Cricetulus griseus: one gene and its partners. The protein of the gene in region 1 interacts with the protein of each later gene in a pairwise test. Links are inferred from orthologs where the notes say so. Each region holds a gene or a part of one and is shown in the gene's direction. Other genes may lie near its edges.

Evidence for each region.
Region 2: the proteins of Myog (region 1) and Txndc9 interact in binary tests that used the Homo sapiens proteins (3 or more experiments, as listed by UniProt). The two-hybrid records come from large-scale screens. The link is inferred for Cricetulus griseus from reciprocal best matches to the Homo sapiens genes MYOG and TXNDC9.
Region 3: the proteins of Myog (region 1) and Cluap1 interact in binary tests that used the Homo sapiens proteins (3 or more experiments, as listed by UniProt). The two-hybrid records come from large-scale screens. The link is inferred for Cricetulus griseus from reciprocal best matches to the Homo sapiens genes MYOG and CLUAP1.
Region 4: the proteins of Myog (region 1) and huntingtin-interacting protein M interact in binary tests that used the Homo sapiens proteins (3 or more experiments, as listed by UniProt). The two-hybrid records come from large-scale screens. The link is inferred for Cricetulus griseus from reciprocal best matches to the Homo sapiens genes MYOG and H2AP.

What each region holds. Positions count from the first base shown.
Region 1 is NC_048598.1:54,925,099-54,933,257, reverse strand, and holds Myog (myogenin), read left to right. Parts: upstream 1-4,320; coding exon 4,321-4,791; intron 4,792-5,407; coding exon 5,408-5,489; intron 5,490-5,964; coding exon 5,965-6,086; downstream 6,087-8,159. UniProt on the Homo sapiens protein: Acts as a transcriptional activator that promotes transcription of muscle-specific target genes and plays a role in muscle differentiation, cell cycle exit and muscle atrophy.
Region 2 is NW_023276807.1:10,263,864-10,271,189, forward strand, and holds the end of Txndc9 (thioredoxin domain-containing protein 9), read left to right. Parts: intron 1-1,233; coding exon 1,234-1,488; intron 1,489-4,044; coding exon 4,045-4,162; 3' UTR 4,163-4,983; downstream 4,984-7,326. UniProt on the Homo sapiens protein: Significantly diminishes the chaperonin TCP1 complex ATPase activity, thus negatively impacts protein folding, including that of actin or tubulin.
Region 3 is NC_048600.1:42,739,856-42,748,823, reverse strand, and holds the start of Cluap1 (clusterin-associated protein 1), read left to right. Parts: upstream 1-3,714; 5' UTR 3,715-3,856; coding exon 3,857-3,878; intron 3,879-6,203; coding exon 6,204-6,315; intron 6,316-7,922; coding exon 7,923-8,007; intron 8,008-8,968. Other genes in the region: CUNH16orf90 (uncharacterized protein C16orf90 homolog), read right to left, coding at 607-764, 1,324-1,722, 3,448-3,511. UniProt on the Homo sapiens protein: Required for cilia biogenesis. Appears to function within the multiple intraflagellar transport complex B (IFT-B). Key regulator of hedgehog signaling.
Region 4 is NC_048604.1:115,607,656-115,614,417, forward strand, and holds huntingtin-interacting protein M, read left to right. Parts: upstream 1-3,235; coding exon 3,236-3,589; downstream 3,590-6,762. Other genes in the region: histone H2A-Bbd type 1, read left to right, coding at 5,504-5,833.

The sequences.
Region 1 (8,159 bases):
TTCCCAGCTATCAGTCTGGGGTCCATGAGCAACCCCTTGTTCAGGTCAGCTGTCTCTGTGGGTTTCTCCAGCCTGGCCTTGACCCCTTTGCTCATCACTCCTCCCTCTCTGCAACTGGATTCCAGAGTTCAGCTCAGTGTTTAGCTGTGGGTGTCTGCTTCTGCTTCCACCAGCTAGTCCTCAGTCTTCTTAAACAAGCCCCTTTTCTGGGCCTGTTTCTTTCTGTGTGGAAGGAAGATGGACTGCCTGATCCTCAACTGCCTTGCCACTTTGATGGTCTATGATCCTGTTATCTGTTCACACCCTGCTCAAATAGCTACTGTCCCATTAAACAGAGTTGATTTGCACATTGTATTTACGAACCCTTACTGAAACATATATATACTACCAAGACCCAATCCCCACTTAGTCCCAAGAAACAATTCTCAGAGAGCTTGCCTGGGAAAGCAAAAGGTGGGGTCTGTTTGGAGAGGCCAGAAGCTCCCCTCTCTATACCTTCTCGTGCCTCTGTTCCCAAGCACATGAGAGTCCAGAATGGGACACTTGCCTTGATTTTAGCCAAGCAACCTGGCAGCCCAGGTCAGCTCATCTGTAGGAACTAGAAAAGGTTAGGGACCAGACAGCCATGGCAGCAGTAGGGAAGGAACAGTGAGCAGGTGAAGGGGATTTCTGAAACCTGATGCTACCATGCAAATGAGGTCAACCCAGCATGCAAATGGACAAAGTCAAGTTGGATGGTCAGGGTGGGAGGCCAACAGCCTGGGTCTGAAGCCTCTGAAGGAGATGGGGACTTCCTCTGGAGAAAGCATGACTGCCTGGGGAGGCTACATTAGGGGTAGAGGCCCCCTATATGCCCACACAGCAGGGGTGGGGATTAAGGTTGGATGCCCTGCTGTCAGGTCAGCTCTGATGGATCACCACTGATGGTGGAACACAAAGACTCCTCTGTGCCTGGCACCAATGTGTTCCCGTCCATCAGAGGGCAGCTCGTGGGGTGCTGGAGTATGCAGGGGAGAAAGACCAGGCATGTCTCACAAATTGATGAGAGAACAAGGTGTCTAGAGGGTCAGTAACCCCACCCCCTGCATTGGGATTTTGAAAAATCAGAGAAACCTGAGTGACTCCACCACTTCAATCCCAAGAGCATCTTTGAGATTGTGGGTTGCCCCACAGTGGGGCCTGGCATGCTTCAGACCACCTTATTCAGACATGCACAAAGACATCTATCTATAGACAAGGTTTCACAGGGACCCAGACACACCACTACCCCCCACCCAAACATTCAAATCCAGTGGTGCTTCCTGCAGACCAGAGCTGTGTCTAGTAACAGCCCTCATCCCCAACTCAAGGACCAACACGGAGTAGGTTGAACAAAGAAAGGAGAGTCCACTTCTCCTCTGGGTTATGCTTGTCCTTTTCCCAGCCTTCTCTTTTGTCACCCAGCACAGCACTTTCTATCATGGAAAGGTGACTGTGGGTACACAATTATCACTCAGCTGTGAGCACAGGGTGGCAGATAAATGACTTCCTATTCGTGTCTCCTGGCACCCACGGCTCAGTGCAGTTTCCTGATTGGAAGAATTGTGAGGAGGGAAGCTCCCTCCTCCAGTCCTTATTCTGTGGTCCATATGGTTAAAGCAGACACCTAACTGAGGAGCATGAGGATAAGAGCAAGTGAGGGCCCAGAAACAGAGAGATGATAAGGCACTGAGTAAGTCTTCTATTCACTGGGTGTTTCCATGTGTTTGACACACACACACACACAACACACACACACACCTACTGCCAGCTTGAAGCGTGTGTTTTCCCAAATCAAATCCACCCTCCTGCCCAAGCCAATGGTTCAGACCTTTACTGTCTCACTCCTGAATTACTGTCATGGGGTTTGGGGATAATGTGGTTTCCTTGTCTGTTTCCAAGTCCCTCCACGCCCAGTTGGGCCTCTTGCATTTATAGACTTGTTTTCAGCCACACCCCCTCACCAGAACCCTGAGATCCACACAAACTGATCCATCTTCTCACCTCTTCATGTCCTCATTCTGCTGGTTCCCCAAGACCTGATCCAGCACCTGTCCCTGCCCCAGCCCTCCACAGAGACTTAGCCTTCAGTGACTTTGCTATTTGTTTGCAAGTGATCCATGTTGTCCTTGTTTGGTTTTGTTTTTGTTTTTGTATGAGACAGTCCCCCAACTAGCCCAGACTAGCTTAGAATTGGCAGTCCTCCTGCCTTGGGCTCTCCCAGTATGGAATTAAAGGTGTGTGCCACCATGGCCACCCATCTCATTGGCTGTGGCATTAACAGCTTTGTAATGGAGCACAGCAGCAGGGTCCAGGTTCACCTACTAGGCAGCAGGGTTCTGCGAGCCATCTTAGAACAAGTCCTTTCTGCTCCCACTCCAGAGGAAGAAGACAGATTGTTTAGGGTAAGTCAGATTGGGTCCCACAAGGACAAAAGGTACCATTTTTAGGTTTCCATGGCAGCCGTGACCCACACACACACACACACACACACACACACACACACACACACACACACTTTTTTTTTCAGGGCTCACAGGACTGGAGTATAAGCTGAAGCAAGGTAAATTGTTTGTTTTTTCTTTTTGAGGGGGTGGGAAGCATGCTAAATGAAGAGATTATTGCTGGCCAGGCTTAGAACTCACACACTGTGCTACACTTTGTAGCCTATGAATGAAGTCAAGAAATGAATTAAGGCCTCTCGCTGTCCCAATTTACTGGGGGCTTTTTTATTGTCCAGATTGTTCCCTTCCCATTTGTCCTCTCCCTCAAAGGACAGCGGCATTTTCTTGGCTCTCTCTATGGCTTCAGGGAGGACAGAAAGCTAGTCCTCCAAACCCCGCACAGCTCTTCCCTCCACTATGACGTGAGTCCTCCCCGAGTCCTCTCCACCAGCACACTCTACTTCCCCTTACTGTCCCGACGGTCATCATAACGCATCCACCTCCTGCTCCACTACAAAGGGGACAGCAGGGTGGTTCACACTTTGTATGCAGGGTCCTGGGGGAAACCCTGACCCATGGGTTAGCTTTTGAGTTCCTATTAGAATAGGTTATCATGTGACATCCACAGGAAGGGGATTTGGGAATCAGAGGTGGGGTGAAAAAGGTGGCCAGGGGCCTGCAGCCTGCCCTTAGAACTGTCCTCCCTGGCCACCAAAGCCTCTACTGAGGTAACCACTGACAGATGCATCTGGAGATTAAATGGAACACCCCACACGTACACCTGTCATTCTAGACTTGTATGATGCATGCAGAGGTGATGACTCGGGCAGAAGAACCCAGGCTGGTGGCCCAGGAGAGACACAAACAATATAAAGGGCTATTCTCCTCACCACCCCAACTACAGAGAGGAGTCAAGATGAGGGCAGAAGACACCATTGAGGGGAAAGCGTGGAGAGACGATTGACAGTGACCGAGGAGGGAGACAGAAGGCTGACTAGCTCTTAACTGGCGGGGGAGATGGCAATGTAGAGGCTGTGAGTTCTAATCCTCACTCAACACTGACTTGCCCTCTTACTTAAGAACACCCCTTATTTAAGAAGTCCTCAAGTTCTCTTGTCTCAATCTATGCCCAACTACACAAGACCTAAGAGGACACCTAAGGTCAAACCTGCTGTGGAAACTCAGAAGTTGAATCCATTTGCCCTTCTGAGTTTCTGTCTTTTGCCTCCGTGGACCCTAGGAATTCACACACACATACACACGCCCCAAATTTGGAGTGGTCCTGCCGTGGTGGTAGGTCGTTAGGGGGGTCTCATAGGATGATGCAGTATGGTTTACAGTGCTCCCAAGCAGCACAGAGAAGATTAGATGGGCTCTGGAGGCCCCTTCTAGCCCAAAGCAACCCTTGTCTTGTGTTCTCCTGCCCTGTCCACCAGCTGCCTTGGACCATAGAGGAGAGCAGGCAGGCGGCCCGGATAGGAGTAATTGAAAGGAGCAGATGAGAGCGGGAATGCATCCACCCCCACCTTCCCTGCCCCACAGGGGCTGTGGAGAAATGAAAACTAATCAAATTACAGCCGACGGCCTCCCGACCCGTGCACAGGAGCCGCCTGGGCCAGGGGCAGGCTGGCAGGGTGGGGTGGGGGCAAAAGGAGAGGGAAGGGGAATCACATGTAATCCACTGTAAACGTCTTGATGTGCAGCAACAGCTTAGAGGGGGGCTCAGGTTTCTGTGGCGTTGGCTATATTTATCTCTGGGTCCATGCCAGCAGGGAGGGTTTAAATGGCACCCAGCAGTTGGCGTGAGGGGCTGCAGGAGCTTGGGGACCAGTGGCAGGAACAAGTCTTTTCCGACCCGATGGAGCTTTATGAGACATCCCCCTATTTCTACCAGGAGCCCCACTTCTATGATGGGGAAAACTACCTGCCTGTCCACCTCCAGGGCTTCGAGCCCCCAGGCTATGAGAGAACTGAGCTTAGCTTGAGTCCGGAAGCCCGAGGGCCCCTGGAAGAAAAGGGACTGGGGACCCCTGAGCACTGTCCAGGCCAGTGCCTGCCGTGGGCGTGTAAGGTGTGTAAGAGGAAGTCGGTGTCTGTGGACCGGCGGAGGGCAGCCACACTGAGAGAGAAGCGCAGGCTCAAGAAAGTGAACGAGGCCTTCGAGGCCCTGAAGAGGAGCACCCTGCTCAACCCCAACCAGCGACTGCCTAAGGTGGAAATCCTGCGCAGTGCCATCCAGTACATTGAGCGCCTACAGGCCTTGCTCAGCTCCCTCAACCAGGAGGAGAGAGATCTCCGCTACCGAGGCGGGGGCGGGCCCCAGCCCGTGGTAAGTGGCTGGTGCACCAGTCCTAGGGATAGGGCCAGAGGGAGGTGCCTGGTCAGCCTCGGGCCACCAGAGCTGGAACAGGTGCAAACCAAGGCCCCGGGGAATCCCAAGACCCCTTTCCTTGTCAGCTAGGCTGTCCACAGACCTTCTGTGCTCATTCTGTTTCCAGACCAGACAAAGGCAGTGGATAGTAAATACAGACGGGGCGGGGTGGACTGCACAAGAGCACAGAAGGGGCCCAGAAACAGGCCTGCAGTAAGGGCTTAGGGGAGCCCAGGGGAAGGGGAACGCTGATTTCCATGCTCCAGTCAGCACCTAAAAGGCCAGACCAAGTGGCGAAAGATATCTGCTTTGTCCCAAACCCACGACCTCCATGGCTGAGCTGACAAAACACATTACAACTGCTCCGAGGTCATCATAACAAAGTACTCTGGCTTATCACCTTACCCACAAAGTGAAGACAGATTCCCATCCTAGAAGCCAGGGAAGACCTAGAAAGTGGGGTATCTATGGCGGACATTCTAGAGTGGGTAACATACCCTGTAACCCAGGCAAAGATATATTATACCTGAGGATGGCAGTAGACTTGACCTTGGATCTTGGCCTTGTCTTACAGGTGCCCAGTGAATGCAACTCCCACAGCGCCTCCTGCAGTCCAGAGTGGGGCAGTGCACTGGAGTTCGGTCACAACCCTGGAGGTAAGTGTGAATCCTGACCTTGTTAACCATGGCTCAAATCACTTAGTCCCTAACTAGGCTGGGCTACTCCCTTACCTTATTCCATGTTCCAGTCATCTTCCTGTGGCCCCAAATGGTGAGCTGAAGGCCCTGTGCCTCCCTGTAGCCTTGATCAACTAAGGAGTAGTCACAGCCCCAACAGCATCCCAGCTGGTGTCTGGTGGCTGACCTCAGGGAGAAGTGCCTATCCCTGCCCCAGGGGTCCCTGGGAATTGCTGAGTCAGTGTTGCAAAACTGGGCCCAGTTCCCTAGGATACATTATCCTGGCTTCACCTTGGGATGGCCACTTCTAAAACCTAACTGCAATAGAGGAGTTCAGAGAGGCAGCACACAAGTACACACAAGTGGCTAGGGGGAACTCCTGACTCTTGCTCACCTATCTGTCCTGGAAAACCTGTGTCCTTGCCCAGGAAACACTCCTCTCTTCTTCTTACAGATCACCTGCTTGCAGCTGACCCTCCAGATGCCCACAGCCTGCACTCCCTCACCTCCATCGTGGACAGCATCACAGTGGAGGATATGTCTGTTGCCTTCTCAGATGAAACTCTTCCCAACTGAGATTGCCTGCCAGGCTGGGTGTCCATGTGAGCCCCCAAGGTGGTGTCAAAGGCCACCACTTCTGCCGTAGGGGCCTTTTAAGTGAGATTGTCTTGGTGCCAAAAAAAAACAAAAAACAAAATAAAAAAAAAACAAAACCCAGCCCCAGACTGCCATAGGCCAAACTACCCATTCCCCATTCATATAAGACTAACACCCAGCCCATCGAGGGAATGGATGCCCTCATTTAGCAGAGAGCATCCCCTTCCAAGGAAAGAAAGATGGGGTCCAGAGAACCCCCTTTGTGGATGTCCCCCAATGGGGCAAACTCAGGAGCTTTTTTAAAATCATAATATGCCTCTAATTCCACCCCAAATGAGAGACAGACAGCGTCCTGATCTGGACAAGCAATGCACATCTGTTCAATCTCTTCCTGATGCCAGCGGCTGGGCTGGGCCTGCCCTGAGTTGAGAGAAGGGAGAGGAGCTACCCTGTTCCAAAGTCCCTGGGGGCCAAGCTTTTGCAGTGGATATTGGGAACCTTCCAGCAGTTTGTGTATTGTTTTGTTTTGTTTTGTGTGTTGTTTGTAAAGCTGCCATCTGACCAAGGTCTCCTGTGCTGATGTTGCCAGGGACAGGCAGGGAAGGGGGTGGGGGCTCTTGGGGTGACTTCTTTTGTTAACTAAGCATTGTGTGGTTTTTGCCAATTTTTTTTGTAATCCTTTTGCTAACTTATTTGGATTTCCTTTTTTAAAAAATGAATAAAGACTGGTTGCTAGAAAAGTGTCTGCAATGATGTCTCAGGAAGGGAGGCACTGACAACACTGCACCTTCCCTTTAGGGGTCCATACACACAAGGCATGGAGGGGGGACAACTCAGGACGGATTCATGTGAATGGATACTGTGGTCCTGAGCAGGTCATTAGACACACGAGCCAGGTGATGCATGGCTGGGGAAAGACCAGCTCCTCAGAAATCCTGGGCACACCAAGGCCGGCCTACAAAGCACTCTGTTGTACTTTACTTCAGAGTCATTCACAGTCTACTATGTTCCAACTAATAGCCCAACAGGTCAACTGAGCATGCTCAGACCTAGTGCTCAGCTCACACGTACGTTAGAGGTATAGAGCTGGGTTTGCGGGGCTTTCCTCCCTCAGCTGTCTCCCCCTGTCCACCCCCCGGTCCACATGACCTCAAGCTCTACAGAAAAATAGGAGGTGACTACACAGAGCAAATGAAATCAGACACTGTCACTTCTTCATAGGACAAATAGCATGTCCCCTTACCACCCTCTGCCCTTCCCTCCAGGCACAGGGATACTCCTGTCCCCATCTACAGCTCAGAGATGAGATTGTGCTGAGGGAGCTGGGAGACAAAGAACATTCAGAGGTGAAGCTGTGGTTCTCATCATTTGGGATGCTACTTTTCCAAAGACTGGCTTCCCCAGGGGAGAAGGTGGATGGGAAACTGAGTGCAAAGACAGTGGCTAGAGATTATAGAAGGATTAGCAGAGGAGTTCCAAGAACTTAGAATGCGAATGGACCAAGAACACCGACTTCAACTTTACTAATTCCAGTTGTGTCATGGTGTTCGTCTGGTTTACTGCTGTCCTAACCATTGCAGACAGGGATTCAGTGCATGGTCCATCCAGGGACCTTTATGGGGCCCTTTGGCAACTGACTTGCGGGTGAGAAGGTAGGCCCCATCAAGGAGCCTGTTTGTCTCAAGCAATTGTTCATCCTGGTTTGTGGGATTTTCTTCTTTTTGAGTTTGTGTCATTGAATTACAGTTCCCCAGATAGCCTGAAGAGGGATATAAGTAGAGCCTTAATCTACTGTCCTTGGGATGAAGTAAGTACCTGCATCACCACACCTTACCTCTATACTCAACTTACAAAATACTCGACTATGCAACTAAAAAGGGCTCTTTTGAGATTTATGTCCTCCAGCCCAGCGGGTACCACCGCACTGCCTTCAGGTGTGATGCACCTCTATCTCTGTCTTTCTAGGCCCCTGCAAGGGTCTAGCGCTGGCCAAGAGTAAGGGCACTCAATGAATACCACGGAGCTCATGGTTTCTGGGGTTGCCAGATGTAG
Region 2 (7,326 bases), on another chromosome or scaffold:
ATGCCTTTAATCCCAGCACTCGGGATGGCAGAGGCAGGTGGATCTCGAGACCAGCCTGGTCTACAAGAGCTAGTTCCAGGACAGCCTCCTGAAGCCACAGAGAAACCCTGTCTCAAAAAAACAAAACAAAACAAAAAAAATGGAATAGGTTTATGTACAGATTTCTTACATACAAATTTACTATTTGTTTAGATCATTGTTTAAAACCTGTTATTCTCTTACCATTTATCTCTAAAATCTTGTCTTGTTTGCTATTTTGGTTTTTCAAGACGGGGCCTCTATGTAGTCCTGGCTGTCCTGGAACTCACTATGTAGACCAGACTGCCCTAGAACTCAAGAGATCTGACTGTCCCTGCCTCCCAGTTGCTGGGATTAAAGGTGTGTGCCATTACCACCATGTCTTAGCTCTGAAATCTGATTATTGAAATCTGATTAAACCCTATCTCAAAAAAACAAAATAAATAAATAAAATTTGACTATAATGAATACTTGTGCTTCAAAAACACTAGGAGGTTGGTTTGTTTAAAATAGATTTTTAATTTAAAGAAAATGTCACTTTCTCTTCAGTAGATGGTTCAATAAAAATCACTACAGAGCTGAAAGTGAAGTTTATTGTGTTCAGTCTCTAGCACTGGAAAGTTGGAATCACACTGATATCACTCATTTATTAAGGGCCACACTAGCCATATATATTTATTTATTTATTTATTTTTGATTTTTGGAGACAGGGTTTCTCTGTGTAACAGCCCTAACTGTCCTGGAACTAGCTCTGTAGACTAGGCTGACCTCGAACTCACAGAGATCCACCTGCCTCTGCCTCCCGAGTGCTGGGGTTAAAGGCATTCGTCTCTACTGCCTGGCTCACACAGCCATACTTAAAGAGTATTATATAACCTTTAACAGATAAGCTTCCTGATAGAGTTACATGATTCAGGGAGTTCTTGGTGACTCCAGTTTTTTTGGAGGTTTTGGTTTTTGGTTTTTCAAGATAGTGTTTGTCTGCTTAGCCCTGACTATCCTAGAATTTGCTCTGTAGACTATGCTGGCCTCCAACTCAAAGATTAGCCTGCTTTTGTGGCCTGCCTTTGCTTCCTGAGTACTGGGATTAAAGTTGTGAGGCAACACTGCCCAGCTCTGGTGATTCCAGTTTTTAATTGACACCAGCTGAATTTTTGCCTCTTGTGAATTCTGTCAACTCCCTTTAGGTTTTACCTTTCTGCTGTTAACTTACAGGTGTAAAATACTAGACAGACATTTGGCAATACTGGCCAAAAAACATCTTGAAACCAAGTTTTTGAAGCTAAATGTGGAAAAGGCACCATTCCTCTGTGAGAGACTTCGGATCAAAGTCATCCCCACACTAGCACTCCTGAGAGACGGCAAGACGCAAGACTATGTTGTCGGATTCACCGACCTAGGAAATACAGATGACTTCAATACGGAAACTTTAGAGTGGAGACTTGGTTGTTCTGATGTTATCAATTACAGGTAACCTATTGCAAAAACAAACCAAAAAATAAGTGGTAGTTTTGAGATTTATTTCTTTATTTTGTATGTGAACGTTTATTTTGTTTTATTTTATGAGATTAAATCCTGTTGGCTAAGATGTAGACAGCTTGGGAAAAGCCCATTTCTTAAGGCATAGAACAATGTGATCTTATAGCGAAACCAAATTTACAGATAAAAATTGAGGTTTGGAGGCAGCCTAGAAGATTTCAACATAAGAAATGTTACTGAAACTAATTTTGGAAACCCAAAGTGACATTCCAGAACAGATTACCTTTAGGGGGTGGGAGGTTGTTTTTTATGGTGTTAGAGATTCAACACAGAGCCTTGCACATGCTAGGCAAGTTCTCTGTCACTGAGTTATACCCTAAGCCTTACCTCCACAACTTATGACTGACTTAAGTGGTTCTTTGTGATGAAATTAAAATATAAAACATACTGCTACAGAGGTCATACACTTTTGTAATTTCATGTTTGCAGTATGAGGTGAAACCTTATATAAATTAGCTGTGTGCCTCACTACCACACCACAGCAATAATCCTAGTCCCGAAAACCATGCTAAAATACAGGCTTTTTTTATAGGCATGTATATGTCACATGCCCAATCTGAAAATACAAAAGGTTCCCATAACTGGAGAATGGTCTTATTTGTGGGACAGTCTAAAATCCATTTTCCATTTTTTGAGCATGGCTTTGTCCCTTCCAAATTGAAAGTGCCACCTGTGTTTTGTGCCTATTTTTGCTTTAAAAAGAAAAAAGGGAAAGAGAAAGACAGACAAGGAAAATTGTGTCTTTCAAAGCAGAAAATCTCATCTTTTTCTCTCCTCTGCTTCCCCTCACTGCTCTGAGTCCCCACTACACATGAATGAATCGTCCTGTACTATGGAAGTCCATTTCTTTTTGTTAATATTAACATACATTAACATTTGTTCAACAAAATGTTACATTTTGAAATTATTTCAGACTTTTTTTTCTTTTGTTTGTTGTCTTTTGAGACAAGGTCTGACTCTACAGTCCAGTAATGTTAAGCCCCCTGCCTCAGCCTCCCAAGTGCTGGGATTACAGATGGGATCCACCATGCCCAACTTCGATTTCAGATTTCAATTAAGTTGCAAACTAGCAAAAGGAATTCTTACATAGTCTTTACTATATGCCCACATTTTAAATGTTTATGCCAGATACATAACAAAGTGTCTTCAGAACGATATGACTATACTTCTTTATTTCTGAATGTATATTTCCTAAGAATAAGGACATTTTCCTGAACCCAGTTCAGTTACTAAAATAGCAGTGATGTAGTTTATAGAACCTACTCAAATGTACCACCATCCTTTTATTCTCCATGTCTGAAAAATGTGTCACACTTAGTTATTGCATTTAGTTTCTGTAACAATTTCTAAATTACTTTTCAAGGTTATACTTTTCAAGTTTATACTTTTCAAGTATAAGCTAATTAATTTCTCAGGTGTTCCATAGTTCGGGTCTATGTGTGTATCTCAGCATGAGACTCAGGTCTTTGTATCAGGACTGGTTGCTACGGGAGGGAGTCAGTGCCTGCATTCTTAGTGCACCATCAGATGGTTTGTCTCTCTTTAGTGCTATGGCACTAGGTTGAATACTACCATGTCAGGTAGTAATTTGATAAGGAACTTTTGTATAATTTGTATTTATTTATTTGTCCATTTAGTGATTAGTCTGGGCTATGAATGATTTTATTCTGTGGGTTGTAGTCAGTAAGACTCTGTTATCCTTCGAACCCTCCCTCTGTGATCCAAGCAAAGTGCTTTAGGAAAGCTTATATTGTATTCTCTCTCTAAAATAAGCTGTATTTCTAAGAAGTTGTGCTTACTGTCAGTGGCAAATGGTAGTTTCTTCTTTCCTTTTTTTCATTTATTGACTGATTTATTTGCTGTTTATTTAGGGCAGGCTCTCACTATATAGTCCAAATAGTTCTCAAACTCACAGTCCTTCAACTTCAGTCTCCTGGCAACTGGAATGACAGGCATGTGGCACCATACCTTCCTAGCAAATGATGTTCCAAAACTAACATCTGGATGCCAGGTTCCCCAGACACATACACAAAACTATCTGATCATTTATTTCTCTAGCATCATTGAAAGGATTTTAAAAAAAAGAAAATTAAGTTTTATGCCAATTCCAGGCTGACAATAGTGCATTCCATGGGTTTTACCAGTGTGTGTAGAAATGTAAACATTGGGGTGCCACACAGGAAGAGTCCCAGCAAGAGCACAAACACAGCAGTGTAGCCTGTCATTATCATTAGTACGGGTTCAGCACAGGGTCAGTGCTTCCAAAACACTCTTCCCTATCTGCTTCGGAATGGTGAGGCTCCATCTCATCACCCCCAAATTGTTTATGATAATGATCATGATACACAAGAAACTCAAATGTTGATCTAATACAGTTAAGTGAGGTGTGAACTATTAATCTTTAATATTAATGCATTTTACAGTCTAGCATCCCAAGGGTATTAAATCATAAAAAATAAATGCTCTTGAACTTTGTTTCACTTTTAGTGGAAATTTAATGGAGCCACCGTTTCAGAGCCAAAAGAAATTTGGGACAAACTTCACAAAGCTGGAAAAGAAAACTATCCAAGGAAAGAAATACGATTCAGATTCTGATGATGACTAGACTGTGCCATACTTGTAAACCACCTGTCTGTCTGTCTGTCTGTCTGCTTACTTCAATGTTAAATGTTGTTTCTAAAGTCACTTGATTTAGGCCCATTGACCATCTAATATTTGAATCCTAGCGTTTACACTACTTCACCATATGGAAGGGCATCATAATTACTATTTTGTCTTTGGCCACCGTGTGTAACTTGAGAAACAGGTAATATAAGTTAGCTGGAAAGGGTCTGGATTCTCTATTTTTGTGATTGAGTTTATCATAACATAATTCTTCTATCTTTATACCACTCACACTTGTGTTTTTAATCTACTGAATTAGAAACAGAAATTCAGCCACCTATTCCAGGATTTACTGAGTGCTGTCTATGGAAAAGATTGGGTGGCATTTACTGGTGTACATGCGCTTGTCAGTGATTTCTCACGTCATTGGTGGAATGTGTTTCAGGAACCATTAAAGATTTGCCCATGTATTCTGGATGCCGCATGTTGAATGTGCTGATACCAGCAGAAAACTCAGATTATAAACACATTGATTGCCTTATGTAAAGGATCCTCATTGCTCATATGCTGAGACATGCACTAAAAAATAACTAAGAGACAGTTCTTGAGTGGCAGCATATGGAACTCCAATGGCTGCTCAGTGAAACAGTTTTACCATAGGTAAAAGTTATTTTTTAAAAGTGTGACTCTGGAAATGACTGTATTTGGTAAGAGCACACAGCAACACAAACAAAAAAAAAGAAGTCTTGAAGAAAGATTGATCTTCAGTGGCGAACAAATTCTTAGGTTTGGTGCCCAGAAATAAATAAGTTTTGGTAAGAACAGCAAGTGTGGCGTCTAATGAGATGGTTCAGTGTAGAAAGGCACTGACCACAAAACTTAAGGACCTGAGTTCAATCCCCAGGATCCACTTGGAAGGAGGGAAATGGTTCCTGCAAGTTGTCATGTAACATATTCACATAATTCCAGTAAATACAAGTTGAATTTAAAAGGGTGGCTTGGGGTTTGGAAACAATGTAAAGCAGGAAAGAAGGGGGGAAAGGTAGAACAAACATTAACAAATTGAAAATGACATAAAGGGGTTGGCTCAGCAGTTAAGAGCACTTGTGTTGGAATCCTAGCACCCACATGGTGGTCACAGCCATGCACTAGCTCCAGTTCCGGGGGCATCTAATGCCACCTGCTGACCTCCATGGGCTCCAAGCACACATGTGCACATACATACATTCAGACAAGATGTGTATATGTAAACTGAGGTGGATCTAATTTTTAAAATACATAAAAATCTAGTTCTTTGAAAGCAACACACCTGTTCTGAGCAGTTGAGAGGAAAGACATAGCAGAAAAGATTCAAGTAAAATTGAAATGCTGATTATGAACATCTCTATACCAATAAATTTTAAAAAACAAATTCCTAGAAAGACCAACTAAAAAAGTACCTAAGAAGAAATAAAAATTTGAGTAGGTATCTAGAGAGATGGCTCAATGGTTAAGAGCACACATAACTGCTCTTGCAGAGAACTCAGGTTTGGTTCCTAACACCCATGTCACTGGTACCTCAAAACCACTCGTAACTCAAGCTCCAAACGGTTCTGGTGCCCTTTTCTAGCCTCTGCGGGCACCTGCACAGACAAGTGCAGACTCAGACATACATAAAGGAAAACCTTTTTTTTTTTTTTTTTTTTTTTTTTTTCTTTTTTTCAATTTGGGCAGAACTAAAACTGATAGGGACTTTATCCCTAACACCAGATGACTATATTGATAATTCAGCAAAACATTTTTTTAAAGAATAATTAACATCAGGTTTCACAAATTTTAAAACTAAAGCATGAGGGATGACTATCTCCTGCTCTTGGGCTAGTATTAAGCTAACACCAGAGCCAGACTGCAACATCAAAAAATTAGAGACCAATGACTTTTCTGAATACTCAAAAATACTAACAAACTGAAACCCAGCAGCATAAGAAAACAAGATTGCATCTTATAATCACACTCACATATACATATACCCAAATACAGACATAAACACACATAATTAGAAATAAGTCTTAATGAGCAGACTCTTGGGTTTTTTGAGACAGGATTTTTTTGTATATACTTGGTTGTCTTGTAACTAATTCAGTAACCCAGGCTGGCCTCAAACTCAAGAGATCTGCCTCCTCAGTGTTGGGATTAAAAGCATGCACCACCACTGCCTGATAAATCTTTTTAAAAATCAATGTAATTTGTCCTGTAGGTGCAATTGGGAAGCAAGTAGGAACGGCTACCCTGACAGAGCAAACCTAAAGCAAAATCAGAGACAAAAAGGTCACAACAGGCTCTGCGGTAGACAGTAGACCCAAAGCTGTCTCTGACGCATCAAAGAAGAGTGAGAAGAAAAGTAGTCTATATTCTAAAGATAAAGATGGGGAGCAATTCAGAAACCCACAAAGGAAGTATGAAAGCATGTCAAAAAGGTCTAGTGAGAGAAAAGCCAACCCAAGCATATGTGTGACTCAGTGGCAAGAGGTTATGTCAGGTAAGAGGGTCAGTCCTGGTGAAGAGACCAGCAGCAGCACTACCTCCGGGGAAGCCCACAGCTCTCAGACCCAGTTGTGGGCTTTAATGAGACCCTGGTTCCTCCAGCAGACAGATCTGCAGTAGAGGGGACTCCCATTTCTGTCACTCTGTGACTCAGTAGGCAGGATCCAGGCACCGTCTTGACAGGGAACTGAACTACACTGGAAGCCTGAGCATGGAGAACAACCACACAATGGCGAGCCCAAGTTTAGTTAGCTATGATTTGGTTCAATAATGACAGACAACCCTGGGAGGAGGCTATGTAGAATGGGGGTGGGGGGGTGCTCTCTACATGCTGACAGCTAACAGTACAAGAAACAGAAGTTAGGGCAGTACAGTGCACAGGACAAAAGTCCTGCCCTGGTTGCAAGGATCCGATCACATCAACTGAAAATAAACCTGGAGTTGTGTAGCCTATGCCTGTGGTCAGCAGGTGGACACAGATGCTATCTATCTAGGTAGCAGTATTGCTGCAAAACCTGGAGACTGAAGCTCCAGCAGGCAAGCTCCCACAGCAAAATGAGTGAAAATACAGAGTCAAAGAACATGGTATCTTGGTTGCTTCCATACTCCCGGTGCCTTGGAGACATCCATTTGTGAAGCCAG
Region 3 (8,968 bases), on another chromosome or scaffold:
TGTGAGGTCCAGGCCAACACACCTGCCTTGGTTGGTCCCCTCCTGGTTCTCTGTTTAAACCAAACCCACTTTTCATCCCTTTGTCCCTGGAATGCCATGCTCTGTTTTCAGGCCTAATGAGACCCTGTCTGCCTTCTAGAGCACCCATGTTCAGCACTTCCTCAGCCACAGAACCTCCCCATGATTCCCCATGTACCCCAGGAAAGCCTGAATGGATACAGGGCAGTTTTTACTGGATTGACTTGATGACAAACAGACAAGAAGGTGCAGGCCTTGGCTTTTACTGAGATTAGACCTGAGGACTACCTGGTCTCTCAGGAACCAGATTCTCTGCTCGGCCTGGCCTCCCAGGTACAAGTGGCTGACCGGAGTTTAGGCAGGCTGCAAGGGCACAGGCATGCTTCCATTTCTTCTGTCCCTCCCGTGGGACTTCCTCCTCCCTCCCTCATACCTTCCCCAGACTAGCCCAGGTCTGGTGCTGGGCAACTATGGGGGCCATCTCAGTGGGAGGGCTGCTGCTGGGACTGAACCCTTCCTCAGTAAACCTGGCCTCCTCCTCCTCGGCCATCCTTCCCCTACCGTCCCCAGCCCTGGCACTTTGGATCCTTATGTCCTCTCCAAGGCCCCAGAGCGGGTTCTCTTGCACAAGGGACACATGGTCTCCTCCAAGGCTCTCCAGGACCTCTTGGGCCTGAGTCCCAAGCCCTCATGGGGACCAGACTGGGAGGGGACACCCTTGGCTGGGTCCATGCTGGAACTGGAAGCTGAGGAAAAAGGAAAGAGAAGTCACTCAGGGACCCAATCTTAAACCCCACCTTGGTGTCCTTGGACCTTATAACCTTCAAGACAATTGAAGTGTTTGGTGCTACATCCTTAATAGAACTATTGGGATGCGGGGAGAAAGTGACATCATGGATCAAGCTGAAAATGTTAGGAACGCTTCATTTGTATAATGAACTGAGGGAGAGTTGCCCAAGGTCCATCAAAATACAGAATGAGGATTGGAACCCAGAACTCTTAATCCTAGATTTTCTCTGCCTTACACTCCTCATCCCAACAGGCTCCAGCTGTGGCCCAGTTGCATACTACCACCCCTGATATTTCCTAGGACTTAGAGTGTACATCCTCAGTGCGAAAACAATAGTGGGGCACACAGATTGAAAAATTCAACAAGATGTGGCCCCTGGAGCATGGCATTACTTTAGTGTGTCCTGGCCACTGTGTCCTTTCCTAGTTCTTGGCAGAGGCTGGGGTTTGGAAGAGGCCCATCTGAGTTCCCGTGAGTCTCCCTCATGTCTGCAGTCCTTCCTTAACAGAGCTCACCTGTATTTCCCAGGTTGTCCCTGGGCAGTTGGGCTTCCAGAAGGGTTGAGCAATGGCTGTTACCTGGACCCAGGGTCCCCTGTGGCAGGTCCAGGGGCCAGGCTGAGCCTTCAGGCCGTGGCAGGCTGCCCCCAGCCATGAGCCGGCCTAGCCAGTGGCTTCCACATTGACCAGCAGGCTGCATGTGGCCTGGCAGGTAGAGAGCAAGGCTCCGGAGGTGACGCAATCGGAAGTTCTTGGGCTTGCTTCCCTGGGCACCGGGGCCCTGCTGCTGCTGGGCCCCCAGCCCTCCCTCATAGATGTTGGGTGGTGTGTCAGGGTGGCTGGGGCGTCCTGGGGCCCAGCTCACTGCATCTGCAGGAGAGAGAGCAGGAGGGTGGTGGCCAGTGGGCCCAGCATCTGGGTAAAAAAATGCAGGTACCAGCTTATATGATAGGCCCCACCCCCAGGCTATCCAGCCTCAGTTCTTGTCTATTCCCATTTCTCCTCTCTGCCCCCCTAAGAAGCCTAGGACTTTTGGCACTGAGCTCTCTTTCAGCACTATAAGCCCTTTTTTGTGCCCTCTATCCTACAAAGGGTATGCTGGTGCCAGTATAAGCAAAGTGGGTACAAGAGTCATACAGCCTAGATCGGGAGTTGCTCCCCTCCCAAGCATTCGTGTCCCTGGGGTCTCCCCAGTAGCTTTGGACCCGGGTTAGAACAGAATGTCATCTCTGCTATTGCTCCTCCCTGCAGCCAGGCACCTTCTCTTATTCGAAGCTCAGAGAATGCACAGACCAAGGCTTCCATGGAGGGCCAGTATGATGGGGGAGGAGTGGCCAGGCCTTGTGTGCAGCAGGGCCTGCTCTCCCCTGCCTAGGAGGTGGGTCTGCAGGTCTCCCATGGCAACTGTTCTTATGATGTCACAATAAAGACTCTAGTCTTCTTGGACCCCTTAGTTTGGAAGAGTATGTTATCAGGTCAGGGGCAGAGTGGGAGGAGGGCAAAGGGAGGGGCTAGAAACCTAAAGTAAATTCACTGGTCTTCAAATTCAGGGCAAGACACACAAAAATTTAGCTCTAGCACGATGGAAAGTCATTCTATGAGGTGACCTTTAGGGGGCCTCGGCTTTCCCATCTGTGTTTGGGAGAAAGGGTTTGGGGTACAAACCTGGAGAGATTGGAATCATGCTGAGAAGGTGGTTCTGGGTAACACTTGTCTAATTGTCCATTTTCTCACAAGTTGTTAGGCAGTGTGTAGATGATCCCATTATTTTCCCCCTAAGTATATGGACAAACTGGAACTCTTACCTTGATGGTGGAAATGTAAAACTACAACTATTTTGCAATCAACTCAGTCACAAAACCTTCACGTTTCATTATAAAAAATTTCATTATAAAAAAATCTATGTTTTACATTTAGGTTTATGAACCATTGTTTTTGTATCTGGATAATAGTGGAGTTTCCATTTATTTGCTGTAGACTTCTCATTGTTCCAAAACCATTTGTTGCAAAGACGATTCTCTGTCCAAATGCATTGTCACCTATGTAGCGCTAGCCACAAATGTGTGGCCCTGTTCCACACGTTAAGTACTTAAGCATCTTACTCCTGGTCTGTATCACAATGTCCAGGTCAGGGACACTTTTACATCCTGTGCCTGCCCATCTTGGGGCTTTGCCTTCCTCTTCTCCCACCCTACTTGGCTTAGCTCATCTCTTCTCTCCCAAGTCCTTTTTTATCGAGGTCGTCCTCCCTGCTGAGCCTGGGCTGGCTCCTACACACACGCGCACACACACACACACACACAGGGGTGTGATACACCAGGCTGACTCCTACACACACACAAACACGCGCGCGCACACGCGCGCGCACACACACACACACACACACACACACACACACACACACACACACACACACACACACACACACACACACACACACACACACACACACACACACACACACACACACACACACACACACACACACACACACACACACACACACACACACACACACGGGTGTGATACCAGCGCTACCGACCAGCCTCAGACTTAACCACAGTTTCCAGGACAACCGCTGGCGTAAGGGTATGGAAACTGATTTCCGGCCTGTCGTGAAGACTGACAAGTTGTACGTACACGAAATCCTTCCGGGTACAGCTTTCCTGTTCTGCCAAGGGTAGCATATCTTCGTTCCCATCATTTTATGGCTACTTAATGCGGCTTCGACTGTAGAGTCTAGCTATGTTTTTACAAATACGAAGGAGGATCTGTCACATAAGGTGATAGTGCTCTCTAAAGAAATGAGGCAATGAGAGCCGCAACAGGACCGGAGCCAAAAGCGCTCAATGAACGGTGCGCGGCGCCACCTGCCGGTCAGTGCCATGCGCGTGCGCGCACTGCCCTCATCGCTTCCGGTCCTGTTTGGCCCCGACAGCGCGCTATCCAAGTGCTCTGCAGGTTACTATAGAGACCGGCGAGCGCTGGGCCTGCGAACTCCAAAGAGGCGAGCAGCCGCGCCCCAGTGGACTCTTGGGACCCAAACGCCATGTCTTTCCGCGACCTCCGCAGTAAGGCTGCACCCGGCTTTCCCGTGGGCTTCCCAGAAACTCGGAGCTCCCCTACCGGACTCCTGCCTGAGCCCTCGGCCCAGTCAGGCCGGTGGTCCCCAGCCCTAGACTAGCCAGGGAATGAAAGAACTTTACAGCACCTTTGGAAAGTTCTGTCAGTCACTGGCCGCGTGTGGCTAGAACACTTGGAATGTGTCTCGCGGCTGAGGAACTGGATGTGTTTAATTTTACTTCATTTTATCTCAATTTGTCACAGCCGCATTCGCAGCCTCATTAGAAAGGTCATAGGAAATGGCAGACTTTTTCTGTGTTTGAGTTTGTAGAAAGAAACAATAAAACCAAGGAGGTGACTGGATGCTCCTATTAGTTTTTTGTTGTTGGTTGTTGTTCATTTTTGAGGATTTGTTGTTGTTGTTGTTGTATAATCTATCACATACTGTTCTCTTTGTGGGCATTATTTCGTTTTCTCCTAGGCAATTCTTGTGCCCTGTGTCTGCCAGAGATGAGGAAGTAGGCAACAAGAGGTCAAAGTAATTTGGACGTAATAGCTAGAGCGAGCAGCTTTGGAGGTTGGACGCCGAATGTTGAGAAAAGAACTTTGCCGGAGAGTGGGAAAGTGGAAAATCTATATTAGTCACTACTCTTTGGAGAACATCTGTTATGTGCCAGGCTGTCATAGTTCACTTTTTGTTTCTGGTTTTAACTGCAAGTAGTATAGCTTCTCATGGTACACACAGCTAGGAAGAGTGGCAGGAAGGACTGTGTGACCCAAAGTCTTGGCCTCATTTGCAGAAAAGTAGCCGCTACTAAGATCAACCTCGAGTGAGTCATGTCTTCTGAGATTTGAGGGTATTTGAAACACTGTAATGATGGCTTCCCACATACTTTTTTATGAAGCCAGCACTTTCCTAGGGTCATTGAATAGCGATGTACTCAAGAGTATCCAAGAAGAGTATTTCAGAATGCTTACCTCAAATAAATACTGCATACTGTGTAATGTATAAGACGATGTCCCCACTGTCCCCACCTAACACTGGAGAACGTGATAGTTTCTGCTTACTGGAATGAAAGGTTTGGGCAAAGCCTGGCTGGAGGGGGAGACTGCTACTTGTTTTCTACCATCTTTTCCCTCCACGATCTGGTGCAGTTCACCCTGTTTTATTGTCCAAGTAGATTATTTAGAATTGTCAACAGGTTGTTTTGAATGGCCATCTTCAAGAAACACGAGTAGACATTGCACAGCCAGGAAACATGTTCAAGAGCGCAGCATATTGTGGGAACTCAGAAACGTTGACTGTGTTCATTTCGATTTTTTGAGACAGCATTTCTCTGTGTAACAACAGCCTCAGCTGTCCTGGAACTTGCTTTGTAAACCAGATTAGCCTTGAACCCACAGAAATCCACTTGCCTCTGCTTGGTTGTGTTCTTTTCTTTTTCTGAGACAGGGTTTCTCTATATAGCCCTGGCTATCCTGGAACTCACTCTGTAGACCAGCCTGGCTTTGAACTTATGAAGATCCACCTGTCTCTGCCTGCTGAATGCTGCGATAAAAGGTGTATGCCAGACGCTTCGAAGTGTCTTTCCTAGCCATCCGCCATGGTGGGTGGATGAAAGACCCGAGCTAACATGGGGTTAGCTCATTAAACAACTACAATAAAGCCTCATGCAGTTTGCATAAAAAAAAGTGTATGCCACCACTACCCAGCATTGTGTTTCTTCATTTTTGTTTTCATCTGTTTTCTTTCAAGCAATTTCTTTCTTTTTTTTTCAGGTGCCCCAACTTACAATATTACTGTTTACTAGTCTGTTTTTACATTAAATCTAAACACTGCATTATAGTTCAACCATTTTCTTAAAAATTTCTCTGAATATGAGGTAACTGATCTTTGAAATATATGTCATGAAAATTGTATGTGCTCACTGAAAAAAAAAAAATCTTGAATTTCACTCTACCCTGGGCCCTCCCATAAATAATGATTGACTTTTTTTTCTAATGATGTTTTATGAGGCTAGGTAGTTTTTATTTGGGATAGTAAAGATATCAGAAAGAAATTAAAGTCTCAGATATCCCCTAAGCCCTATTTCCCTGAAGAAAAATCTACTCTATTGAACTTAGATGTTTTTCATGTGATGGACTAGATACTGTAACTTTTTATCTGCCCCACCTTGCCTTTCCTCTTACAGAGTTGATGGATTCAGTACCTCAAGCTGTTACTAAGTTGGGAAGACCCAGTAAGAAGGGAAAGCAGAGAGAATAAGATTAACTACTCTCCAAAGAGTTGCCATTTGACAAGGACTAACCGAATTGTGTTTTATGTTGGACAGATTTCACAGAGATGATGAGAGCCTTGGGATACCCACGACATATTTCTATGGAGAATTTCCGCTCACCCAACTTCGGGCTTGTCTCTGAAGTGCTTCTGTGGCTTGTGAAAAGGTTAGAATGCACTTTCATTCATTAGCTAACTAGGAACTGGAACCTTTTGTGATGCATAGTGAAGAATATAGTGCAATCTACATAGAATGGACTTAGTTGTGACTTGTAAAAATTCACCAGAGTTGCCAGACATGATGGCACAAGTAGATCTCTGTGAGTTCAGGGTCAACCTGGCCTGTATATCAAGTTCCAGGCCAGCCAGGGGTACATAGGGCGAGACCCTCTCTCAAATTAAAAAAAAAAAAAATGAAAGAAAGAAAGAAATCATCAGAGTTGAAAGAACATGGAAGGAAGTGACTATCCTCATTAGAGTGCTGGCCAGGTTCCTCTTCAGCCCCTCACCACAAAATGGCAGGGACCTTCTTGCACACTCAGAATATACTGTGTTAGAAATATTACAGATGCTCTGGGATGACCTCTGATGTCAGGGACTAATGTACACATGCTTACACACATAATTAAAAATAAAAAATTAAAACAGCAAATAATGTAGAGTTTTCATTGTGTTAAAAGTCTTATGATTAGGATTGGCAACTTTTGTGTTAAGAAACAGAGAATAAATATTGTGTGTTTTGTTACACATAAAATTAAGTCTACATGAGATGTCTGTTGAATATTCTGTAGCTATAGGCTGTTGTGAGCCATATGACATTGGTGCTAGGAACTGAACACAGGTCTTCTGGAAGAACAGTTTATGTCCTTAAACTGTTAAGCCACCTCTCCAGCCCCTTTTGTTTGCTTTTAAAATGTAAAAACTATTCTTATCTTTCAGACTATACGAATACACGCTGAGAATCACAGGCTTATGGGCCTTTGTGAATTCTCAGTAAACAAGTAATTTCAACAACTCTGGTACTTCTTAGAGTGAATTGTTTAGTCCACATGTCCATCTTGGGCCAAGGGCTATCAGCCTGAGTCAAAATCTTGGTTATTTTCATAAAAGTTAGAAGTTTGAGATGGATTTAGTTTGTAATCTGATCCCATATTCTTTTTCTTTACACTTTATTTATCTCCACACTCGTATCATGGCACACATGTTCGAGTGTGGGGGTCAGAGGACAAGGTTGTTGAGTTGATTCTCTGCTTCCATCTTTATACAGGTTCTGGGGTTTGAACTCAGGTTTCTAGGCTTATACAGCAAACCCCCTTACCTACTAAGCATGTGTAAATACACATATGTGTATGGGTTCATGCTAGCCACAACATGCAACTGGAGGTTAGAGAACTGGTTGGTTTTCCCCTTGCACTATGTAAGTCCTGGAGATTGAACTCAGATTGCTAGGCTTGTTGGAAACCTGCTTATCCACTGAGTCATCTTGTGGTCTGTCACTTAGCCTCATTCTTAAAGATTTTGCTTAATCATATTGCCTTGGATGGGGCCTGGAAAACCTCGTGTTAGCAATACTCAATCACGTAGTTTCCCTTTAATGGACCTTTTTTGTTTTGTTTGGTGGCTTTGTTTTGCTTTGTTATATTTTAGTTAGGGTTTCACTATATAGATCAGGCTGGCACCCCCACACCTGACTCTGAGATTATAGGTATGCTCCTCCACACCTGACTTTAAGGGACTTTCTTTTGAATTGTCTCATGCTTATTCTTTCTGACAGATATGAGCCACAGACTGACATCCCTTCTGACATTGAGACGGAACAAGACCGAGTTTTCTTCATTAAGGCAATTGCCCAGTTCATGGTTAGTTCAGTTATTTTATAGAATTGTCAAATAAGTTAGAAAAAGATGAATCCTATTTGGGACTATTTTTTAATTTAGTATTGTGTGTACTTTCTAAAACCATCCCACTGACAGATTTCTGTGGAACCATTTCACCAATGTTTGTTTGTTGACTCATTTCTTATATAGTTTTATTTGTTTATTTTTGGATAAGTGATATGTTTTATGATTCAAAAATTTTTTGATCATAAACATATACAGAGTAAAATGACTTTTTGCCATGTCTGCTCTGGGCTGAGTTCCAATCATAATAACCACTATTTAAATCTGAGCTGAGATTTTGTTTATGCATATTTGGATAAATCATAATATATAAATATGTTGATATTAATTGTGTTAATTATATGTAAATGACAATGGTATACATATATTCCCTGTTACACATGCTGTATAGCATCCTGCTTTCTTCACTTAGTAGTATATTTTGAAGAAATTTTCAAATGCGTTTAGAATTGTCTCTCTTTCACTTGAGTTAATATTGCTTACATAAATATCCCACAATTATATATAGGTATTTAGGTCATTTATAACCTTTGCTATTTGAAACAATTCTGTAATGAATAGCATGTGCATTTCATTTTGTCTGTGAGTTTATGCTTAGAGTTAGTTCTTAGAATTGGAATTACTGGGTCAAAGATACGTGCATTTGTAGTTTTGGTCTTTTCCCAGGTTGCTTTTTAATCACAATATGGGACACTTACACTGTGTTTTATCTTTAATCACTGAGTTGTATCAGTTGCTGACAGAAACATTTTCAAAGTACCTACATGGGATTTGTATACAACCTTAAACTTTGAAGCAGGGTATGATAGAGCACATTGTAATTCCAGTGCTTAGAAGTCTAAGACAGGAGAATTGAGAGTTTGAATCTAGCCTGAACAACTGCATAGTGAGTTTTAGGCCAGCCTGGGTTACATAGTAA
Region 4 (6,762 bases), on another chromosome or scaffold:
TTTCTTTTTTCCATTGTATAATTTTAGCTTCTTTTTCAAAAATCAGGTGATCATAGGTGTGTAGATTAATATCAGGTCTTCAATTCAATTCCATTGGTCAACCTGTACGGTTTTTTTGTTTCAATGAAATTCTCTCAACTTTATATGGAAAAATAAAAAACCCAGGATAGCCAAACAACCCTGTACAATATAGGAACTTCTGGAGGCATTACCACCCTTGACTTCAAGCTCTATTCTAGAGCTATAGTAATGAAAACAGCTGTCTAAGTTTCTTAGTCCCTCCTCCAATCCAGCTATGGCAGGATTTTAAATCTTAACTCTTAATTATGGCCCATGACCTCTATAATAGAGGAACATACCATATCCTGTGGTTTATGAGAGTTTCTAGCTTTCTCACTTACACTGAGAAAGGTAACTTCTGTCCTCCACTGAGAAAGCTTTTTATTTTGTTTAATTTTCATTCATGTCAATAAGACTAAATTGTATCTTGCTCCTCTTTCTAATCTTCATGTCTACCTGATAGTAGTTAAGGAAACATGTGACTTACCAAGTGAATATTGAATAGGTAGCTATCCCTGGATTCCAGGCCTGGAAATAGCAAGGCTTATAGTTAAGAGCTTGGTGGCCAGCACAAATGAAAACAATAAAAACCAAGAGCACTCAGCCAGGTGAATGAGAACTCTGTAAGCCTCAGATCCCTGTGAATGAACTGAAGCACACATAATGTACTTATGTTCGCAATCTACTAAACATACTGAAGTGGCTTTCCTAGTATGTTTCTTTATTGCTGTGAAAAAATACTCTACTTGGGGAAGAGACACTTGATGTGGGCTACAGATTAAAATCCACACCATTGAGGAAATCCAAGGCAGGAACTTAGAGACAGGAACCAAAGCTGAAATCATGGAAGAGTACTGCTTACTGGTTTACTGCCACTAGCTTCCTTAGTTACCTTTGTTTTCCTTTTATTTTTGACATTATAATATAATCATACCATTTCCCCTTTCCTCCCTCCAAACTCCTCTTCTTCTATATACCTCTCCACTCATTGATTTCTTCAAATTTACGTCTCCCTTTTCCATTAGTTTTTGATATACGTGTGTGTGTGTGTGTGTGTGTGTGTGTGTGTGTGTGTGTGTGTGTGTGTATCAGTTTGTATAATGTTACTGTGATAGTATATGATTATATGTATGATTTTAGGGATAACCATTTGGTATTGGATAACTAATTGGTATATATCCCCTCGGGAAGTTCATTTCTCCCCAGCTCTCCTTCATTGCCTATAGTTCTTTGTATAGGGCTGAGGTCTAGCAGTCATTCCAGTGTTGGCATGTTTATTTTTTTCCTTGTTCAGCTAGGCAGTTATGTTGGTGAGACTTTATGGGTCTAACTTCTGACATTGCTAGGAAACAAGATCTCACAGCAAACTGTCTGAATCCTCCAGATCTTCGAATTTCTCCACTTTCTCTTCCGTAGTGTTCCCTGAGCCTTAGGAGTTATTTTATAGATATATCCATTAGGACTGGACTCCACAACTTGTATTTTGATTGGCGCCTTAGGAGTTATTTTATAGATATATCCATTGGGACTGGACTCCACAACTTGTATTTTGATTGGCTGTGGTTCTGTGATGGTCTTCATCTGTTGCAAAGAGAAGTTTTCTTGATGAGAGTGGATTACATTTGCCTTTGGGTTATAAGAATAACCAAGGGAAATAGCCACAGGTGTAGGTTTGGGGAGTCTCTTGGAGTACACTGACCAACAACACCAAAAGGGGATTCTTATACCTGGTGTTGAGTTTTTATTAGATGGTCTTTGCCTCTTGTAGGCCCAGGCCTCATTTTCAGCCCAGTTGAGAAAATTTCATCTAAACTATATGTGCATATTTATACACAGTTTCATATATTAATTTTTTTCTAATTTAAAGTCAATAGTGTGATTCCTTTTGACTCATTCAGATATCCTACCCCCTAGAAGGAACCCCTAGAAAGAGTATTCCAAAGCCAAACAAGGAAGTAGTTGGAGGAAGTAGTGGGTACTTACCACAAGGGAAACAGTTAGAGGAGATATGGAAGAATAAATATGCTCCAGGAGGGTACTAGGGGAGGTGGAGTGGTACCTTAAGCTACAGATTCAGCGAGGGGGGGTATCACATTATATTTACTAGCCCTTACACATCTATGTTACAGAACCAAATCTGTTCCTGGGGAATCATTGAGGTTGTTTGGATGAGACAATCTAAGGTTAGTAGTTCCTCCGTTAGTTAGAGCACTTTCCCAAAGAATGAAACAGAGACTAGGGGTAAGGATAGGGAAGCTTTTATTAAAAAGCAGAAGGGTAAACTTTAGATTGTTAACTGAGCACACAGTATCACCAGCTGGGTGTACAGACATATCAGATAGTCAGATGTGTTGAGGTTGGAAACCAGCAGTCTGCCCGGGATATCTTGAGTAGTGAGTGTGGAAACTGTTCCACCTCCTCTGGAGAACACAGGAAGAAAGAACCACATTGATTACTGTTGGATTTGTCTAGAAAGTCAGTTTCAAATGTGTTCTGTGTGGTTTCCATCCTCACGATGGGTGTTTGAGATAGGAGATGGCTAACCAAGTTTGTTAACATGAGTGATATTGTATCTTTTGTTAGCTTTGGACTAGGGAGGCACAGATACTTATTTAATGTGGTTAATTTAAGGCCCCAAGGTGCTCTAATGGTTTACCTTTAACTGAGCTGGGACAGGAAATTTGGGGATTACTTGATGATGTTTTAGTGTCTGAAGGATCTAAACTTCCTCTTTCAGAATATTCCTCCTTTCCCAGTTTCCTTTTTGCATACTCCAACAGTTTGAAGAGGTCAGTCAAACCTCTACCTGGAAAGTATATTTGATATGTTTACCAGTACCCTCTAATTAATGAAAGGTTATAAAGACAGTTTCCAATTAAAACATGTTATTTCTACAATGTTAATTTGACTGTAATTGAGGGGAGTTAAATGTTTCTCAAAATCAGGGCAGGGAGGTGAAACTGCTGTGACAGACATTTCTAGACTGAGGCCTAGTCTGAGCCCATTGGTGCCCAGACACCAATGACATCTCAAAGTCCAAGATGTCATAAAGGTAGCTGCTGACCAATGAGTAGAAACTGGGGATGCAATGAGCAGGGCTGAACATTGTCTCCCGAGAGCCAGTCCTGCTGGTGGGCCAAGCACAGCTTGCCGGAGCCCAAGCCATCAAACCATCATGTCAGGGAAGAAGAACCAAGGAAAGTCTTGCAGTGACAACAAGAAGATGGAAGATCCTTCTTCTAAGCCCGAGGTACAGATTCCTGTGAACTATGTGTACCATCTACTGCAGGAGGAGCAATATACACCCTGCCTAGGCTCTACCACTTCAGATTTCCTCCTCGCCATGCTTGATTACATTACTGACTATATCCTGGAGGTGGTGGGCTCCGAAGCCAACATCAACAGCCAGCAAGACATCCCACAAGACAGAGAGAGGCAAGGGGACAACGACCATGACCATTCTCATGCCTTCAAGAATGCACCTTTCTCTCTGTTTGATGAGATGCCTGGACCCAGAAGGAATGGCTAAAGAATTGGGGACAGAACCCAAGGGTGGGAAGCCTCATGAACTCAGCTAGGACCATGATGGCTAATAGCAGAGGAAACTCCCCTGGTTCCATGAATACTAATAAAGTGTTTAAGTGAAAGTTGGTTGTTCTAATTCTTTTCACTTTGTCTTTCTGAGTTAGAGGTGTCTGCAACATACTAACGAAAGGGTGGAGGATGGAAGTTGTGGTTTGCAATGGGTGTATGAATCAGTGACTTACAGTGAGCACATCTCTGTGGGGGTGGCTTAGGTGGAGGGGTGGAATTGGAAGATGGGAGGAATTGGATGGAGGGAAGGGCAGGGAAGCCATCCTCATTGACTCTGAATACAAAAGAAGCCTTGGAGAAGCTTGGAAATTGGTTGGAGCCTCACTGGCAAGTTTGGCTTTTAGTATGGTAACTTAGAAGACACTGCTGATGACCAGAAATTCTGCTTGGAAGCCTTGTTTTATGGGAGTGAAGGTCTCAGAAGAAAATGCATGCTGGGATATAGATGTTTACAAAGTAGAGTCAGAGATAGGTTGATAAATGGTAGTTTATTGGGGAAAAGTACTCACGCAAAGGAGCATGAGTGACCAGGTTTTCACCTGAGTGGGACCGACCCAGAAATGCTTCCTAGTCAGTTCAGCCAGGCAAAAGAGAGCTCCCTTCTTCTTAAACCCTTGTTATATAACTCTGATCATGCCCAAGTGGGCGTGGTCAGTGGTACCTGTGACCAGGCAGAAGCGGGCGTGGTCAGAGGCACCTTTAATCAGGGTTTCTCCCTACACTGGGAAGGGTTACACATTGCAGGCAGTTTGAACAGAGCAGTTACCTGATGCTGGAGTGATGCTGAAGCCAGATGGAAATACACATTTTAGATGAGGAAAAGTGGTTAAGCATCAGGTTTTAGTAAATGCCTTTCTAGAGAGCCTGTGATCTATAGAAATTAATCACTTTTGGATAGAAAACAAAATCTAGCTTGCCAGATACTGTCCATTTGTCTGTTATCTCAGATCAATTGAAAATGTTATACTCTCTGGAAATACTAGTTAACTTTTTAATATCTAGATAAGGGAACCAAAGTGTTTTGACTTATATTTGACCCTTGATTGAATTGCAGAGTTGAAGACATAAGCTCTATTTCTTTGAACTCTTGTCTTTTCCCAGGCCTAAGGGCTTGCCAACAGGGAATCAAACAAGTCCATCCTCAAATTCCACCTGAGACACTAAACAAAATCTAAGGAATGGTGACTACTTGATCACATAGAACTGTTCACCCAGATTGTTCAATCCACCTACAATGGCTTCTCCCAGATTAAGGCCTTTCTTCTGCAATACTGCCTGAAATTGTGTCAGATGGTGATATTTACTTCTATACTAATTCATAGCTATGGGCCAGAACCCAGACTTTCCACATTAGATAGCTTTTTACTCAGACCTTTGAACAAGGTCTGAGTAAACTGATGGATTCCCTGATGTTCCTCATCTGCTTATGGGGGACATTTCATGTGTAACAGATCTGTCAGTGATCAACAGTTTCCAGAAGGATGTACAAAATGTCAAAGGTGATGCTAGAATCTTAGACACTGGAATGGTATGCTAAAGTGGGATGAACAGTTTTCATTGAAAGCCAAATGTTTGCTGTACTGATAAAGAAAAGTGGGACAATTTCCCTGAAAAGGTAATGTATTCAATAATGTGAGCAGTTTCCTAACATGGGCACTTCTAGACTGGAGGAGGACCAGAGCCCAGGAGGCACCAATGACATCACAAAGCCTGGTGTCACAAAGGCCTCTCCTAACCAATGAGGTGGAGAGATGGGCACTGGGTGGCTATAAAAGGGGGCGTCTTGAGAAACACAGGTCAAAAGAGATCCATCTGCGACTAAATCAAACTCGCCATACCAGCAGGCACTATGGAAGAGAAAAAGCGCAAGGAGACCATCTCCCGTATCACCAGAGGTCAGCTACAATTCTCTCTAGATCGAATAGAACGCTTCTTCCGAGACGGAAACTTCTCTCAACGCCTGAGCGCTTCTGCACCTGTGTTCCTGGCCGGTGTGCTCGAGTTCTTGACATCCAACATTTTGGACCTGGCAGGCAGGGAGGCCCACGCCAACGGCACAAGGCTCATAACCCCAGAGCACGTGACCCAGGTAGTCCAGAACAATGATCAGCTTCGAGAAGTCTTCAAAGAGCATGAGGACCCTGTGGTCTCTGAGACACCAGAACCTGAGAAGAACTAATGACACCTGGGTCACTGAGGCTGGCAGTCCACTTCAGCCTCAAATTGCCTCAATGTCCCCCTAGGTGGGGGGGCGATAATTAGACATGTTAATAAAAGTGTCTAAACCGTTACCAGTGTTTCTGATTCCTTTTAGCCCGTCATTTTGAGCTAGAGTGACCGTGAAACACCCAGGAATGCCGGGTGTGGGGGGGGATGGGTTGTGGTAGGGTTGGATTGGGGTTGGAAGAGAAACCTTGGTCGGCATGGGACACTTAAACTGATTTGGGGGGGGGGAAGTTTCTAGTCGGGATGGTGTGAGCAGTGGCCTTGATGTGACGATGTGGCTGAGGGAAACAACAGAGAAGCCATCCTGGTGAGCTGTGAGCATAGAAGACTTCGGGATTACCAGTGTGGTGCTACTGTATGGAGTAGGGTTAGTGAAAGCATGGACCGTCGTTGAGAAGACTTCATTCATGGGTGGGAATACTTCACATCAGCAGGTGATGACAGTGGGTGGGGGGAGGCCATGGAGTAGAGTGGCACACTGTTGGCATGAACCTCAAGGATCAGGGTTGTAAGCATTGCAGCTCGAATGGAAAGGGATCCTGGAAGTCAGGAGCCAAGTACTACCACAAAGTCACGGTAAGTTCAGCGGTTTACTGCCCTGGTCCAGCGAATGGCTTCCCCAACGTAACAATTCTGCCCTGGCAGGGAAGGATTTCCCCAGCAAAGTTGTTACAGTTCTGCTAAGATTCCCGAGTGTACTCCACTTCGGAGAAAGAAGGTCTCACCCAAACCTCATTCAAAAGATTTCTTGGGAGGGAGGAATCTAGAAGGGCGGCCTCCACTGCCAAGACGGAAGAAGGCAGCTACCAACTGAATTGGCACAGGGCTTTATATAGGGCTTCTTAGGGTGGAGATATTTACAGGGTGGAGATTTTTAGGGTG